2 linked regions of the Elephas maximus indicus genome follow. The protein of the gene in region 1 interacts with the protein of each later gene in a pairwise test. Links are inferred from orthologs where the notes say so. Each region holds a gene or a part of one and is shown on either strand. Other genes may lie near its edges. The genes, in order: RABL6 and SPINK7.

Region 1 (7,255 bases):
CAATTCAATCTGTAGCAGCCAGTGTTTCATGAAGTGTATGAGCGTTTTAGGAAGAAACAGTTGGCTGACAGTGAAGATGAGGTCTGACAGCTGGCTGCTGGACTTTGTGCCCTGGGAGTCCACTGGTCACCTTGGTGGGACAGACCACCCCACACTTCCCTCTGTCCCCAGATGAACATGAGCCAAGCAGAGGCATCCTTCATCGAAGAGCGGAGGGCACGGGAGAACCGGCTCAACCAGCAGAAGAAGCTGATTGACAAGATCCACACCAAAGAGACCAGTGAGAAATACCGGCGGGTGAGGCCCAGCCCCTCACCCCATGCAGCCAGGGAGTGAGCAGACTCAGCTCAGGGCACCCCTGGGTCCACTCCCCTGTGGGGACTGCTGCTCACCCTCCTTTCCCCTGCAGGGCCGGCGGGACCTGGATTTCCCCTCCAACTTGATGAGCACAGAGGGCCTGAAAGGTGAGTACTTGGCTCTGCCCATCCCACGAGCATCTGGAGAGGTCACCCAGCCACATCCCCCAGAAGGCCAGGTGTAAGCCATGGTCACCAGCAAGGGAGACAGATAAGCCCCTGCTTCTCCCTGGCTGCACCCAAAGAGGCCAGAGCCAAATGGCCACACACACACTGGGATGCGACTGCTCCCAGGCTCTGGGCCACATGTGGCTGAGCTTCAGGCATATGTAGATACTGTCCACCAGCTCCCCAGGGCCCGGTCACCCAGTGAGTCCTCAGAAAGGATGAGTTCCTTGGGCCCCGGGCCTGTCTCCAAGCAAGAAGCACCAAGCTGACCTGGGGCATTCCTGAAGGACTGGACCGAGGACAGGTGTCTTAGCCAAGGTTCTCTAGAGAGACAGAATCAGTGAGATGGATGAATAGGCAGACAGACAGATAGATACATAGACAAAGACTGATTGATTTTAAGGAACTGGCTCACACGATTATGATTGTGGGAATTCTGGCAAGTCCAAAATCCGTAAGACCAGGCAACAGGCTGGAGACTTCTGCAGGCTTGTGTCACAAACCCATGGGTCAAGTGACAGAAAGAGTGAACAGAGAAATTCTACCAAAGTATCTATTTACAGTCTGGAGGCAGAACACACCCTGAGGAAACTCCCTTTTTGCTCTAAAGGCTTCAGCTGACTGGATGAGGCCCACCCACATTGTAGAGGGTCATCTGCTTTACTTGAGCCCAGATGATTAAATCACACATAACTGCTACAGAACAGCCACTAGACTAGCGTTTGCCCAAACAACTGTGCACCAGAGTCCAACCACGCGGACACATAAAACTCACCATCACAAGGAGGGCAGGTCACCTGGCTCCTAGGTTCCAGGACCTTGGGGTGTCCTCCCTGGAAACCCAAGCACGTATGGAAGCTTCTGGGGGCCTGGCGCCTGTGCCCTTGCAACATCCCTGCACACCAGCTGCCCATTGCACTCTGCTCTGCCCAGTGAAGCGAAAGGAGACCTCCAAAGCTGACATTGAATACCAAGCGGATGTGACCACGATGGTGGAGCGTGTGAAGAGTGCCGTGCGCTGCTCCCACCTCTGGGTAAGGCCCTGGCTCTCCCTGGGTGGGGTGAAGGGCCAGTGAGGTCTGGCCCAGCCCCAGGCCCCGGCCGATTGGGTCTGCAGGTCCTCTGAAATGGGCACAGAAAGCTGCACCCTCTGGGCCTCTCTGGCATGCAGGAAACGGCCAGTGGGGCAGCTCAGCATAGAGGCTACCCCGGGACATGTTTGGGGCACCTGAGCACCATTCCAGGGCCATGCAGAGCTTGCTCAGTGGAGGCTCCAAGCACCGAGGGCCCAGCCTTTCTCTCCCACTCTGGCCTTGTCCCAAACTGCTGGAATCACAGGAGCAGCTGCCTCTCCATCCCTCCCCGCCCCTCTTATTTTTGTCGAGTCTGGGTTATCACCCTTACACCCTGAGTTTCCATTGCCGGCCCTGACGTGAGCTTGTCCATGCTCGGACAAGCGACCCAAAGCACCTGGATGTCTCAACGTAGTCTCCTCATCTGCGAGAGGCCATCTGCCCTCTCTGAGGTGTTAGGAGCCTCTCGTGCAGTGGCACATGGGAGGCACCCTGCCAGGGGCTGACCCCAGCAAGCCCTGGGTGCGCGGCAATGGGTGACACCGTGACCCAGCCTGGAGCACAGAGGCAGCCCTGGCACTGGAGAGGGCCATGCCTCCTCAGCTCATTCCTGCTTCTCTCCCCGCTGGACTGGCCAGGACATCGCTGGCCGGTTCCTGGCACAGAGGAACACGGAGGAGAACCTGGAGCTGCAGATGGAGGACTGTGAGGAGAGGCGGAAGCAGCTGGAAGCCTTGATGAAGAAGCTGGAGCTGGAGCAGGCGATGCTCAAGTTCCGCCAGATGCCGGGCTCTGTCAGGTACCCCAGGGAGGTGTCCCGAGGGTGAGGGCTGACTGCTAGCACCCGTGGACAGCCCCTGTGGCCAGGGACCAGATGCCGGGCTCCGTCACGTACCCCAGGGAGGTGTCCCGGGGGTGAGGCTCGCCTGCTAGCACCCGCGGACAGCCCCTGTGGCCAGGGACCAGGCTTGCTCCTTGCGAGCCTGTGAGCACCCTGTGAGGGAAGCCCAGCCAGGGACCTGCACTGGCCTACACTGGGGCTCCTGAGCCCCTAAATGTAGCACGGCATTCACCCTCAGCTCCTGCACCCCCACCGTCCTCACAGCTTTGCGTCCCTTGAGAATAAGATGAAGGACATGCTCAAAGAGGAGGAAGATCGGCTCCAGCTGGCCCTCAGCAACGTTAGCAAGAGCCAGAAGCTCCTGCTGACCATCCAGACGGGCGTCGACAACCTCTACATTCGGCTCATCGGCATCGCCACGCCACCTGGCCAGGTGCCTGCCTGGGGAGGAGCCACCCCCACCGAGAGGGTCGTGGAGTGGGCCCGGCGGGCATCAGACCCTCCTCTTGCCCACAGAAAGAAGCTGTGGTCTCCAACCCCCTAGATGTGTACAGCAAGCTGGCGTATTGTGAGAGGAAGCTCATGTACCTGGTGGACAGAGTGCAGATGCTGACCAAGACTGAGGAGGTAGCCTGTCTGGGAGGTGAGCCTCGAGCCCACCGCCCGCTGTGGACCTACAAAGCTGAGGGAGTTCTGCATGCCTGCAGGTTGGCACGAAGGTGAGGGACATCCTGGAGTCCTCCACGCTGAAGGAGAAGCAGAACACCAAGATCAGCTTTGAGGACCTGGAGGAGGATGTGATAGGTATGGGCCGGCCAGAGCGAGGCCAGGGTGGGGGGCTCGCGGCCGGGGGCGGGTTTGGCTGCCTGCAGTCTGGACGGAGCGTGGACCAGGCTGGAGCGGGACGAGACCCCGGGTCACAGCGGCACAGGCTTTGGTGGTGGCCTCGCCCTGTCCCGCGGGGCAGCGGTGGTGGGAGGGGGCGCCAGGGCCCGGGAGGGGCTTCGGGGTGCCGGCTTCCCGCGCTGCCCCTTCCCTCCTAGAAACCTTCCAGTTCGCCGACGTGGACCACAGCTACGTCCCTTCGCGGGCCGAGATCAAGAGGCAGGGCCAGCGGCTGATAGAAGGGAAGCTCAAGATGGCCAAGAAAAAGAAGAAGTAGCCCCTTCCCCTCTCCCGCGCCCTCCACCCCTTCGCCTGCGTTTTATTATCCAAATAAACGTTTTTCCAGGACGGACGGGGGTCGATGGGTGAGACGAGACTCTCAGAGAAAATAAGAATTGGGGAGACACAGGTCTTGGGGTCACGCTGGGAAGTTCTACGGGGAGCTGTGTGTCTGGGCCAGGGCTGGGGGCGAGGGCGAAGTGGGTGGTGTCGGGGCTGAGACGCGGACGGGGGTGTCCGGGGCGGCTGGAAACTCGGGGGGCAAACGGCCTGCAGGGGTGCGGCGGCGCCCCCCAGCCCCCCCGCCCCCCCACGGCCCCCTGCACCCGGGGCGCATGCGCGCTTCGTCCCGCGCGTGGCCCTCGCGGCGCCCCGTAGCCACCGCCTCCCTGCGGCCCCCGCGCCAGCGCCAAGATGGCGGCGCCGACGAGCGGGGAGCGGCCTCGCCGGAGGCCGCGGGGCCCGGAGCCGAGCCGCCGCGCCTGAGGCCGCCCTCGGCCGCCGGGAGCCCAGCCCAGCCCAGCCGGCCGCCGGGCCATGGTGCGCGCCGCCCCACGCCGCCGCCGCCGCTGCTGAGCTCGCCGGCAGCGCCCGGGCTCGGGCGTCCGAGCGGGGAGGATGTTCTCCGCCCTGAAGAAGCTGGTGGGGTCGGAGCAGGCTCCGAGCCGGGACAAGAACATCCCCGCCGGGCTGCAGTCCATGAACCAGGCGCTGCAGAGGCGCTTCGCCAAGGGGGTGCAGTACAACAGTGAGTGCGGGGCAGGGCCGGGGCGCCCGCGCCCGCGGCCCCCGAGACGAGCTGTAGAGACCCGAGCCGGGCGTGCGGGGAGAGCGGGGGCTGTGCAGACCCGGAGCCCGTTGAGCCTCCGGTGGCCCTCGTTCAGACCCGGCCGGTCCGTAGACGCTGGTCCGCGGGGCGCCCCACGAGCGCTGGAGAGTTAGTATGAAAAAGAAAAAAAGAAAGATGTCGTTTGAGGGGGCGTAGGGGTCGCGCTGTGCCCCGGGAAGCCAGCAGGACCAGCAGGCGCGGTGCCTTCTAACTCTGCCGAACCTGGAAGGGCTGGCCCTGCCCTGGTCGCCGCCCCGGCGCCAGAAAGTGTAGGAAACGCTGGTTCTCGGTCTGCGGCGAGAGGTAACCGCGCCTCCTCGCCTCGGGAGGTTTTGGCAGACTTTGTTTTTGAGATTCGCTGAGCCCTTACCCTGGTCGCTGTGAGTCGGAATCGACTCGACGGCACCGGGTTCGGTGCCCTGTGCCAGGGCTCTGCAGGCAGGAACCCTCAGGGACGAGAAGGGATGCCCCGCCGGGGTCCTCGAGGACCCGACGAGCCTGGAGGGGCTGCCCCTCGTCTCCTGGCGCTCTCCTCTGCACGGTGACTGCTTCCTGAGCAATGCTCACACGGTAGGAAACCCGTTTGTTTAGTTTTAAACAGTGAAATTCGTGGAAGGAGATCTCAGGAAGTGCTGGAGCTCCCTGCTGGCCTGCGGTTCTCCGATCTTGCCTTGTCTGAGAAGGGATCGTTACGTAACGGCAGAGGGGAGCTGTTTCGGCTCTGACGGAAGGGGTGCTGGGGTTCTGAGCCGGTGAACTGTGTCACCACCTGGAAGAGGTGCCCTAAAACCCAGGCGGCTGAGGTCGTCTGAGCTAAGGGGTTTCTCTTTGTTGACGTGGCATTGAGTCTGAAGACAGATAACAGCTTTGCCACAGTTCTTGCCTTCTTGGAGCAGCATTTGTAAGGGATATATTTAGAAAAGCCCCAGAAGGCATGAGATTCTTGCTTGTTATCGTGGGAGACATCTCTTCCGGCCGGGAAGGAGGAGTTACTCACAGACGCCCAGAGAGCCAGGCTGTTCCCATCCAGATGGTATAAATTATGTAAATCCCAGCTCCCAGACACTGACCGTGCTCTTGACCTCTTTTGAGTTTTCTGTCTCCCTTGCTCTTTCCTAGCAGTATTTAAAGGCTTTATGCTGCCCTCTGCTTTGAAATTGTTTCCCTGGTGCTGCTGAGAGATTTTGGACTCTTTCCCCTGCTTTGTGCACTTGAACGGGGCCCTCAGAAATGGGTCAGGAAGCCTTGTGTGCGTGTCAGACAGCTTGTCTCTGCCGTGCTGTGCTTGGAGTTCTGAACACGTTTCTTACACGTTCAGAGAAGAGACTATTAAGTTAAAATGCTCAATTACACAAATCTTTACAATCTATGCTTGGATTCCTTATTTTATTTAATGTTATCACTTTTAATAATATCTGAGTGGTGCAGACGGCTAAGCACTTAGCTACTAACCCAAAGGTTGTCCACTCAAACCCGCCCAGAGGCAACTCAGAAGACGCCTAGCAATCTGCTTCCAAAAGGCCACAGCCTTGAAAACCCTGTGGAGCAGTTCTACTCTCTGCACACATGGAGTCGCCCTGAGTCAGAGTCAGCTTGACAGCGACTGTCAACAACTTTTAATGTTGTTTAAAACTTAATTACAGTCTCTTGGAAGTTAGACCTGGAGACCGTTCACCTCATCCCAGTTGGGCTGGGACTGAAAGGGCAGCGGAGTTGTCCCAGAGTAGAGGACCACATCTGGAGTGCTTAGAGCAGGTCATGACCTCCCAGAAGCCAGCGAAGGGTGCTGAGATGGAGAGAAACCTAGATTTGGCACCTATGTTACATCTTAGAGGGATGTTGTCCCAAGAGTTGAATAATAAGCAGTTTTGAAACTTTTTGATTTCCTGTATTAGTCTGTAGACAAGAAAGTTCCTAGCATTTGTTTTCCCAAATATCTTACTTAGAGGAACAAACCCGCAATATACCAAGTATAGATTCAGGAATTTTATAGCTAAGAGTTGTATTAACTGTTACTCTGGGGGTGGGGGTGTAACTCGTTTTCCTGTAGATTGGCTGTGTTAACAGGAGCAACTCCTGTCACAAACGCAGAGTCCAAGCACACCTGTTACATTTAGAATAAAAAATGTGGCGAGTGGGCCTGTCCCTCCCTGCTGTGCCCGGACGTGGCTTCCCAGGTGGGGACGTTTTAGCCAGAACAGCCTGTTGCAGGAGGGAATGCCTCGCTCACGGACTGCTCAGTAGACTCGCTCAGGACCAGGGTGCTCGCGGACTGCTCAGTAGACTCACTCAGGACCAGGGTGTGGCCACAGAAAGCTCCTCCAGACATGGGACAACAGGGTCCTTTCTGGTTAGAGAGCAGTGTTACGGTTTTAAACCGGGAACTTTTGAACGGCCAATGTCAGTGTGAAACAGCCTTCCCTGTAGGAAACAAGCAGCTGTGTCCAGCCAGTGACTCAACCTGCCCCGGCTGGCCCGCTGGCAAATCCCCAAGCCTTCACTGCCTGGACGTGCCACATCTTTGTGAGTTTTCCTTCTTTTGCGTTTGTTCGCTCTGCACATACTTACTGAGTGCTCATCATTGAAAAACCAAACAAAAGTCTCTGCCCCTGTGGTGCTTACATCCTGGTGATGGGGCGTAGACAGTGAGCAATAAAGATAATAAAGGAGAGGATTTATGGTCTGTTTGAGGTATTATGTGCTACATGGGATAAGGGCTTGGGCGTGCCCAGGGAAGGCAGAGGGATTGCAGTTGTGAGTGGAGGATCAGGGTGGACCTCGCTGAGCAGCAGCAGAGCGGAGACTAGAAGGACATGAGGACGTA
Region 2 (8,268 bases), on another chromosome or scaffold:
GCAGGGCCTGGGATGCAGGGGATTCTGGGTTACTAAGGAGGACGTCTACCACATCTCACGTTTAGTGTCCTTTGAATACAAGTTAGTTTCTAGGCCAGGGGACCAGCCTGTGACTGTGAAATAAAACTCCTTGAACAAGGAACAAATGTGTAGCCATTTCCTTCTGGGATCAGAGCCTAACCTGATATTTTAAATTGTTCAGATAATCACAAAGATAGAAAACAAAAACAAGTGGCCAAAATTTAATGACCTGAAATGATCAGAGAGTTAACGATGAGTGAAGTTGACTTGGTATAAGACAATAAGTACAATGTTGCAGGCCCTTAAACTAGCAGTGGTATCTGCCTAGTTACATTGCCTTCAAAAACACTGAGGAGGCCAAACAAATACCTAAAAAACAAACATGTCCATGGGGTTCTGGTCCAAGTACTGATAGTTTGCACCCTCTATTTTAAAAGCAAGAAAAAATATATATCTTTGTGCTAGTCTCATCCCTCTTAGAGGTATAGATGCTTAGAATCTCCAAGAAACTGAGAATAAATGACTGGCAGCCACCGTTCGCCTAAGAATCAAGCTATATTGAAGTATGCTAGAAGTCATGTAGGAGAGTGGCTTTGATTTTTTTTTTGTGGGGGAGGCAGGGCTTAGGACCCTTCTTCAAAGAAAATATTGTGTGGTGCTCCACTATTTAAAATAATCCAAAGCTGAAGCTGGGGCTGGAGATCATCCCATGTGGTCTCCCTGGGCCCATTTGGTGACTCCTGATATGCCATTACAGAACATCTGGGCTCCAGGGACAGCAGTTTGAACAATAAGCCCTGGATTAGTTGGTTTCCTTCAATTGATAGATGGCAATTGGAGGTTCTATGATGGGATGGGACCCATCCATGCTGGCAGAGCAATTTGGATCCAACTCTGATCTGACTGTGAGGCATTCAGTTGTCTATCCCCACCAGCTGCTTCTGGGTGGGAATGAGTACAGTTAATGGAAAGTTAAGAAGACTCCAGGAAAGGGGAAGGTTCTCAGGGGAGAACACTGGAGCCAGTTTCCTTTGCCTTCATGTGAGGTACTCACAAGCTCTCGGTACACAGGTGGCATTCATTCCCATAGGTGATGTAATCAGAGCCACAAACAGGCAAGTATGTGATGGGGCAGGGGATGGCCACCACTGGGTACTTCTTATAAATGCTGCAGTCCACCTGTGACAGAAACAAGAAAAGGTCCTACTGTTCTCCCAGCCCCCAAGTTAGGCTATCCTGGCCTCTACTGCACAGGCAGCAAGAATGCCATACTAAAAGTCCCAGCTCAGGTATTTCTGATGCTACTGCTACTACCTCTATTAGCACTGCTGTTACCACTATGACAGATGCTAGAACTGCTACTATAGTCACTTAGCAATCGACGAGCATCTTTCTGTCAGAGTTTTCTCTGCCATGGATATGTTGGTTTTTAATCTTCACAACCACTGAATAGATTAGGCTCTACTACTATTCCTATCTAAAAATGGGGAATTTTAGGCTTAGAAAGACAGATAACTTGTATTAGGCAAATGCTGGTAAGTAGTAGAGTTGAGATTTGAATCCAGAGCCTGTGCAATTAACCAGGGTAACTCTGCTCTGCTCTCAGATGTTGTCTCTTTCGTGAGGACTTCACCAACCTCTCAGCTTGAAGTCATCTCTCTTTCCTTTAACACTTGAATAATTACTTAGGATATGGATATTTATATGTATGCCATGCTTTTTAAACAGCCTTCTGGAGAGCAGAGGCCATTTTTTCATGTGTCAGGCTTCCTTATTATCCCTTACAACACACTGAGTTAATCTTACATATACCATTTATAAGTATTTGTTGGATAAATGGAAGTCAATTTAAAAAAAAAAAAACAACAAAAAAACCCTTCGCCTTCAGGTTGATTCCAACTCATAGCGACCCTGTAGGACAGAGTAGAACTGCCCCATAGGGTTTCCAAGGAGGGCCTGGCGGATTCAAACTGCCGACCTTTACGGTTAGCAGCTGTAGCTCTTAACCACTACTCCGCTAGGGTTTCCAACAGGCAATAGGAATTAAAATTAAAATGTTATCCAACGTACTCACCGTTTTTGTAGATGGAGTGCCAGTTTCTGAAAGGGAAATGTACATGGAAATTATAAAAATAAAGCAAAGCTTTGAAATCTCCTTAACTGATGTAAGTTTGGTTCTATACACTTAAGAGTCTTCATTTTCTGAGGCACTGAGGGTCAGCACATTTCCCGTCCTTATACAAAATCCCAGCTGTTGGCTGAGGAAACCAAATGACCAATGGGCCGTAGAGTCACGTAAGCCCTTGACTCAGGCAAGTGAACTGCCCCAATTTTCTTCCTTTATTGACTAAGGAACATCTTCTGGAGCTTCTTGTGTCTTTGATAATGTCTCAGACTCAAGTAGCAATAAGCAGTATTGTAGTCACCACTCCTAAGAGTCTGAAACACCATCTTTGATATTTTCCCTGTCCTAACTGAGATACAGGAATGTAATTAAATACCTTTAAGGTCTCATTTTAACCAAGTAATTTCTTTGCCATCTAAAAGCGTAATTGTTGACTCCTGGCCTTTGGAAAATTGTGTTTTATTTTGATTCTCCTAGACTGACTTGGGGAGACATCCAAGTTTTTCTGCATCTTTGCACTTAAGAATAGTATCTAATAACACCATCCACTTCCAGAGTCATTAAGCAGTGGTAGAATTAAAGAGAAATTATATAGTTAAGCTTTTTTCCATGAATCGAAATCAGAAATTAAAGGGGAAGATATTCACTCCAAGTTGCCCAAATTCCAGCTGAGGCCAAAGATTCTTCCTTCCCAGGCCAGGGAACTTTCTATTACAGAACAGTACATTTTAATCCATATAACCACACAGATGCTCACATCTCATGAGGAAATATTTGGGAAAATAAGCTAAAATGTGCTTTTCCAGACATTCTTGACTCACCTGCACTGTTGCAGAAATGGGCCACCGTACAGAGCAGAAGGACACCCCCAATGATCTTCATGGTGGAGACGACCGTGGTGCAGAGGCTGCTCAGGCTATCACCAGAGCTGCACCAGCCAGGTCCTAGGAGAGAGGCCATGCTTATATGCTAAGACTTGGATTCTCCACCTTTCCTGTGAGGTCATCCAGAGTCAGCGTTGGCCCTGAAAGAATTTCAATCAATGCACAATGTCACACCCTGGGAAGTGTTGTTACAGTCCTTGCACTTAATTGCTACTTCCCATCTGACCAATTTGATTATTTGTGGTGAGTGAGAAGCATTTTTCTTCCTGCCCCCCAGGTGAGGGTGACTACTTAGAATTCTAAACTTCACATAGAAGAATAGATTAAGTATGGGCTACTTGGCCTAGTTGTGAAATAAGTAAAGATTTAAAATTTCCTTTATTACACCAATATTTAGGATATTAAACCCAAATTAGACAGATTACACCTAGGTTTATATTTTAGCTGCTGAAAAAATATTATTTTACTTTTGAGGCAATGAACTTGTGCAGCAACCTGGGGCCTAACAGAGGGAACAGTGACCTTAGCACTTATGAGGCTTGGAGAAGGGCATTGCCATGTTATTTTCTAGCTATGTAATCTTGGATAAGTCATTTATATGCTGCGAGCCTGTATCAATCAGGCAACCTTGGTTATGCTGTGGTAACATATAACCTAAAGATTCCTGTGACTTAAAACAATGTAAGCTTGTCTATTCCTTACTCAAGGTACACACGTATGGTGGTCATTTGAAGGTGCTGCATTGTCTTCATTCTGGATCTCAAGTAGATAGTCACCGTTTGACATATTGTCAGTTGTCGAGGTGAAGTGAAAATGCGTGCTTCAGGGTTTTCTTTTCAGCAATTAAATGTTTCAGCCCAGAAGTGATACCACTGTCCTTTCTCATAACTCACAGGCCAGAACCATCATGTGACCTCACCCAATGGAAGTGATTACATGAGATCTTACCTTGTCCTCTGAGGCCAGAAAAGGGAGAACTGGGTGTAACTGGCAAACAGCACAGAGACCACCTCAGAGCCGTGATGTCATCACCTGTAGAGTGGGGCCTAGCATTAATCACAAGGTCGTTGTTGCATGCCGTTGAGTCGATTTTTGCCTCACAGCAACTCTATGTGACAGAGTAGGACTGCCTCACAGGGTTCTCTAGGCTGTAATCTCTACAGGAGCAGATCACCAGGTCTTTGTCCTCATGAGCCATTGAGTTGGTTTGAACCACCAACCTTTCGGTTGGCAGCTGAGTGCTTAACTATTGTGGCACCAGGGCTCCTTTTTTAGCTACAGTTGAGGTCACTTAATTGCAGTCATTTATGTGAAAGCCTATTCTGAAGCACAGTGCATGAAATGTATATTATTGTGATATCATTATTGTTGAGCCAATAGATTGCTCAACATTAGATTATGAACCGTAGTGTCAACGCGAGCACAGTTGTCCAAATTTCTGCCGCTTACCTGTTAAGCTAAAGAACATATGCATGAAAACCTGGGGAAGACAGTGAGTTCTGTTCCATCAATCCAATGCACCGCAGGTTTATTTTAGTACATTGTGAAACACAGCATCCACATAGGATATTAAGCTAATAATAAATAAAAATGTATAATTCCCTAAAACTTTCACTCTTACATCTCTTTGGGAGATAATGTAATCTAGTGGTTAAGGACATGGGCACTTGGAATCCAATGGATCTAATTTGAAATCTTGCTGCTAATGAATATTGATGGTGTGACTTTGAGTATGTAGACTAACCTCTGGATATCTCAGTTACATCATCTCTAAAATGGAAATAATATTTACCTCACAGGATGATTTTTGAGTATTAAAAGAGATTTTATATATACATATAGGTGTAAATATATGTGTGTATTTATAATATATAATGTATTTCTATGTATATAATGTACATATATACATACGTATATAATTTCTTATGAGCAGCGTTTATGTATATATCTATATATAGATATAGAAAACCAAACGCCAAACCTGTTGCTGTCAAGTCGATTCTGACTCATAGTGAGTCTATAGGACAAAGTAGAACTGCCCCGTAGGGTTTCCAAGGAGCAGCTGGTGGATTTGAACTGCCCACTGTTTGGTTAGAACCATGGCTATTAATCACTGTGCCCCCAGGGCTCCATATAGATACATAGAGATATATATATCCATATGTTTTCAAAAATAACTTGCACTTTACACTTTTTTTTTTTTTTGCTGAACTACACAACTACCCGTACATTATTTTGTAAGAACTCTGGGCTAATTTTCTTTTTTCTTTAAAAACATGTTGCTGACTTCAATTTCTATTTTTGATCACATGGAAATGTCACTTAAGATAGGTATTGACTTTATCTTACTTGCAATTTAAGCCAAAATTATTTACCGGTAGATTCTGGGTTTTTCAACTGTTGAGATAACGCACTACAATTATCAACTTAAATTAATAGGAACAATTGCACAGTTCTGATTATTTATTTTCCAGTTACTGGGGGACTACCAAACTTGATCCATTACTTCTTGACCATGGCTTGTATCTTTATTACACAATTATGATCAAAAGTAACATTTTCAGACTATTTTTATACATACAAGCAGGAGATTAAAGAAAATAAACAGAATGAAAGAAAATGAACATATTAATAAGATTTACTTCTAATATGGGAGGACAGGTAAATAAGGTCAAAATTCATTTATGGAAATGTCATGAGACATGCATTGTACATGCATAGGTGAGCTATGCCAGAACCATTTTATTTAATTTCATCATTTCCACGAGTTATATGTGTGGGTGTGTTATTTACGTGGGCGCATTATTTGCAAAAATGATGGTATGCATATGTGTCTGTACGTATATATATGCCACCCTTGTATATGGTAGATAATAATTTGGAATGTGCTCCTCTTGAGAACTCATTGAAGACGGAATTTTTATTACCTTGTTTTTACCAATGAGTAAGTTGAGGCTTAGAAAATTTAAAGAGCTTTTCAAAGATCATGACACCAACTAATGGAGGACAGGCTGTTGAGTTCAGTTATGGAAAAGAAGGGAAATGAATATCCTAATAAAAAGAGGTACTCGTAAGTTTTACTGTGGAAAAGACATTATGTTTCAGAAAGAGGTGTCTTTCTTGCACTTTGAAAATGTAATTTTAAAAAAGGAAAAGAATGGGAAAGAGATCAAGGATGATCAGGTTGAATTGGGAGGATAGGGTCACTTTTTTTTAATGTTTGTAGCCAAAGAGGAAGGGAATGAGAGAAGCTTGAGGCTACAGCAAAGTCTAGGGTAGACTGTGCATATCTAAAAGCTGAGAGGTAGAAGAAGAAATTTAAGATATATGGTAGAGGGTGGCTAATCAGAGGAGTACAGAAAGGTAGTAGAGGTCCCTGGGTGATGCAAGTGGTTTGAATTCGACTACTAACCTAAAGCTTGGAGATTCGAACATACCAGTGGTGCTATGAAAGAAAGCCCTGGCAATCTGCTTCCATAAAGGTTACAGCAAAAAAAGAGAAAACCTTGTGAGCAGTTCCATTCTGTTGCATATGGGGTTGTGATAAATCAGAAGAGACTCAATGGCAATGGGTCTAGAAACATAGTAAATAAGATTAAGAGCACAGGCAAAACAACATTCCCTCTGACAGAGTAGACAGAGAAGTGTAGATGAGTGTAGAGATGGGGTATTTTGGAAAGTCAGGGAAGGAGAGATGAGGGAGGAACCCATTGCAAGGTAGGCTCCATTTGTTAAGTTCCTTTTTGAAGTGGAAAAATTGTGTTGATCTGGAAGTTTGAGAAGGACGGAGGTTTGGCACAGACATTGATGGGAGTATGTAAAACAGTCAACAACGAATATAAAGAGTAACGACCAATAGACAAAATCACCATTAGATTTTAACAGGCCCCATCACTACTAGGAGCTCTGGCGGCACAGTGCTTAAAGTGCTTGGCTGTTAACCAAAAGGTCAGCAGTTCGAAGCTATCAGCCACTCCTCGGGAGACAGATGTGGCAGTCTGCTCCCATAACGATTACAGCCTTGAAACCTTTATGGGGCAGTTCAACTCAGTCCTACAGGGTTGCTATGAGCAGGAATCGACTCAACGGTAGTGGTTTTGGTTTTGGTTTTAAGCAGTACTATTCTGCATCATAATAGGTTGTGACACCGAGTGAGGGATGGGGAAAAGTAATTTTGTGGACATTGTACGTCACAGACTTGAGGGGGGCTGAAAGACTGAGTCAGGAGATGGCAAAGCTGGGAAGAGATTCAAGTGCTCCAGAAGGATCTGGTGGACTGCTTAAGGTGCGAACAGTTAAGGGTTTAGAAGTCAAAGTTCAGGCAACACGTGGGAAATATGAACTATCATTTAGGGAGGCTGTGCTGGGAGGCAAAGTGGCAGATTTTATTTCTCAGAGGTGGGGTGGTACAGTGATGATAATTGTTAGGCGTAGCCAAAGATAAAGTAGGTAAAGGAAGGGTGGAGATAAAGGTCACTAGATTCAAAAGTGTGGCAAGTGAGGTCAGGGGATGAGTGTGGGGTTGCTTTGTTTTATGGCAGCTGTTTACATGGAGAGGACTTTTTGTTTCTCTAAATCTGGTTCCTGAGTTTTTCTTTTAGCTTTTCTTCTTCTCCTTTTTTTTTTTTTTTTTTAAATTGTGCTTTAGATGAAGGCCTACAGAGCAAATTAGTTTCTAATTAGGCAATTAATACACATATTGTTTTGTGACATTGGTTGCCAATCCCACGATGTGTCAACACCCTCCCTTTCTTGATCTTGGGTTCCCCATTTCCATTCTTCTAGCTTTCCTGTCATCTCCTGCCTTCTCGTCCTTGCCCCTAGGCTAGTGTGCCCATTTAGTCTCTTGTACATGGTTGTGCTATATGTATTATTATTTGTTTTATGGACCTGTCTGATCTTTGGCTAAAGAGTAACCCTCAGAAGTGACTTCAGTACTGAGTTAAAAGGATATCTGTCTGGGGGCCATACTCTCAGGGTTTCTCCAGCTTGGTCAGACCAGTAAGTCTGGTCTTTTTTATTGTGTGTGTGTGAGTTAGAATTTTGCTCTACGTTTTTCTCCAGCTCTATGGGGACCCTGTATTGTGATCCCTGTCAAAACAGTTGTTGGTGGTAGCTGGGCACCATCTAGTTGTGCTGGACTCAGTCTGGTGGAAGCTGTGGTAGTTGTGGTCTATTAGTCATTTCCACTAATCTTTCCCTTGTGTCTTTGGCTTTCTTCAATCTACCTTGCTCATG

What was found.
Region 2: the proteins of RABL6 (region 1) and SPINK7 interact in binary tests that used the Homo sapiens proteins (3 or more experiments, as listed by UniProt). The link is inferred for Elephas maximus indicus from reciprocal best matches to the Homo sapiens genes RABL6 and SPINK7.

What each region holds. Positions count from the first base shown.
Region 1 is NC_064827.1:1,610,760-1,618,014, reverse strand, and holds the start of RABL6 (rab-like protein 6), read left to right. Parts: upstream 1-4,013; 5' UTR 4,014-4,220; coding exon 4,221-4,350; intron 4,351-7,255. Other genes in the region: CCDC183 (coiled-coil domain-containing protein 183), read left to right, coding at 172-297, 410-464, 1,458-1,558, 2,236-2,396, 2,703-2,871, 2,955-3,065, 3,146-3,242, 3,482-3,600. UniProt on the Homo sapiens protein: May enhance cellular proliferation. May reduce growth inhibitory activity of CDKN2A.
Region 2 is NC_064820.1:163,062,606-163,070,873, reverse strand, and holds the start of SPINK7 (serine protease inhibitor Kazal-type 7), read right to left. Parts: upstream 3,029-8,268; coding exon 2,968-3,028; intron 2,122-2,967; coding exon 2,096-2,121; intron 1,201-2,095; coding exon 1,076-1,200; intron 1-1,075. UniProt on the Homo sapiens protein: Probable serine protease inhibitor.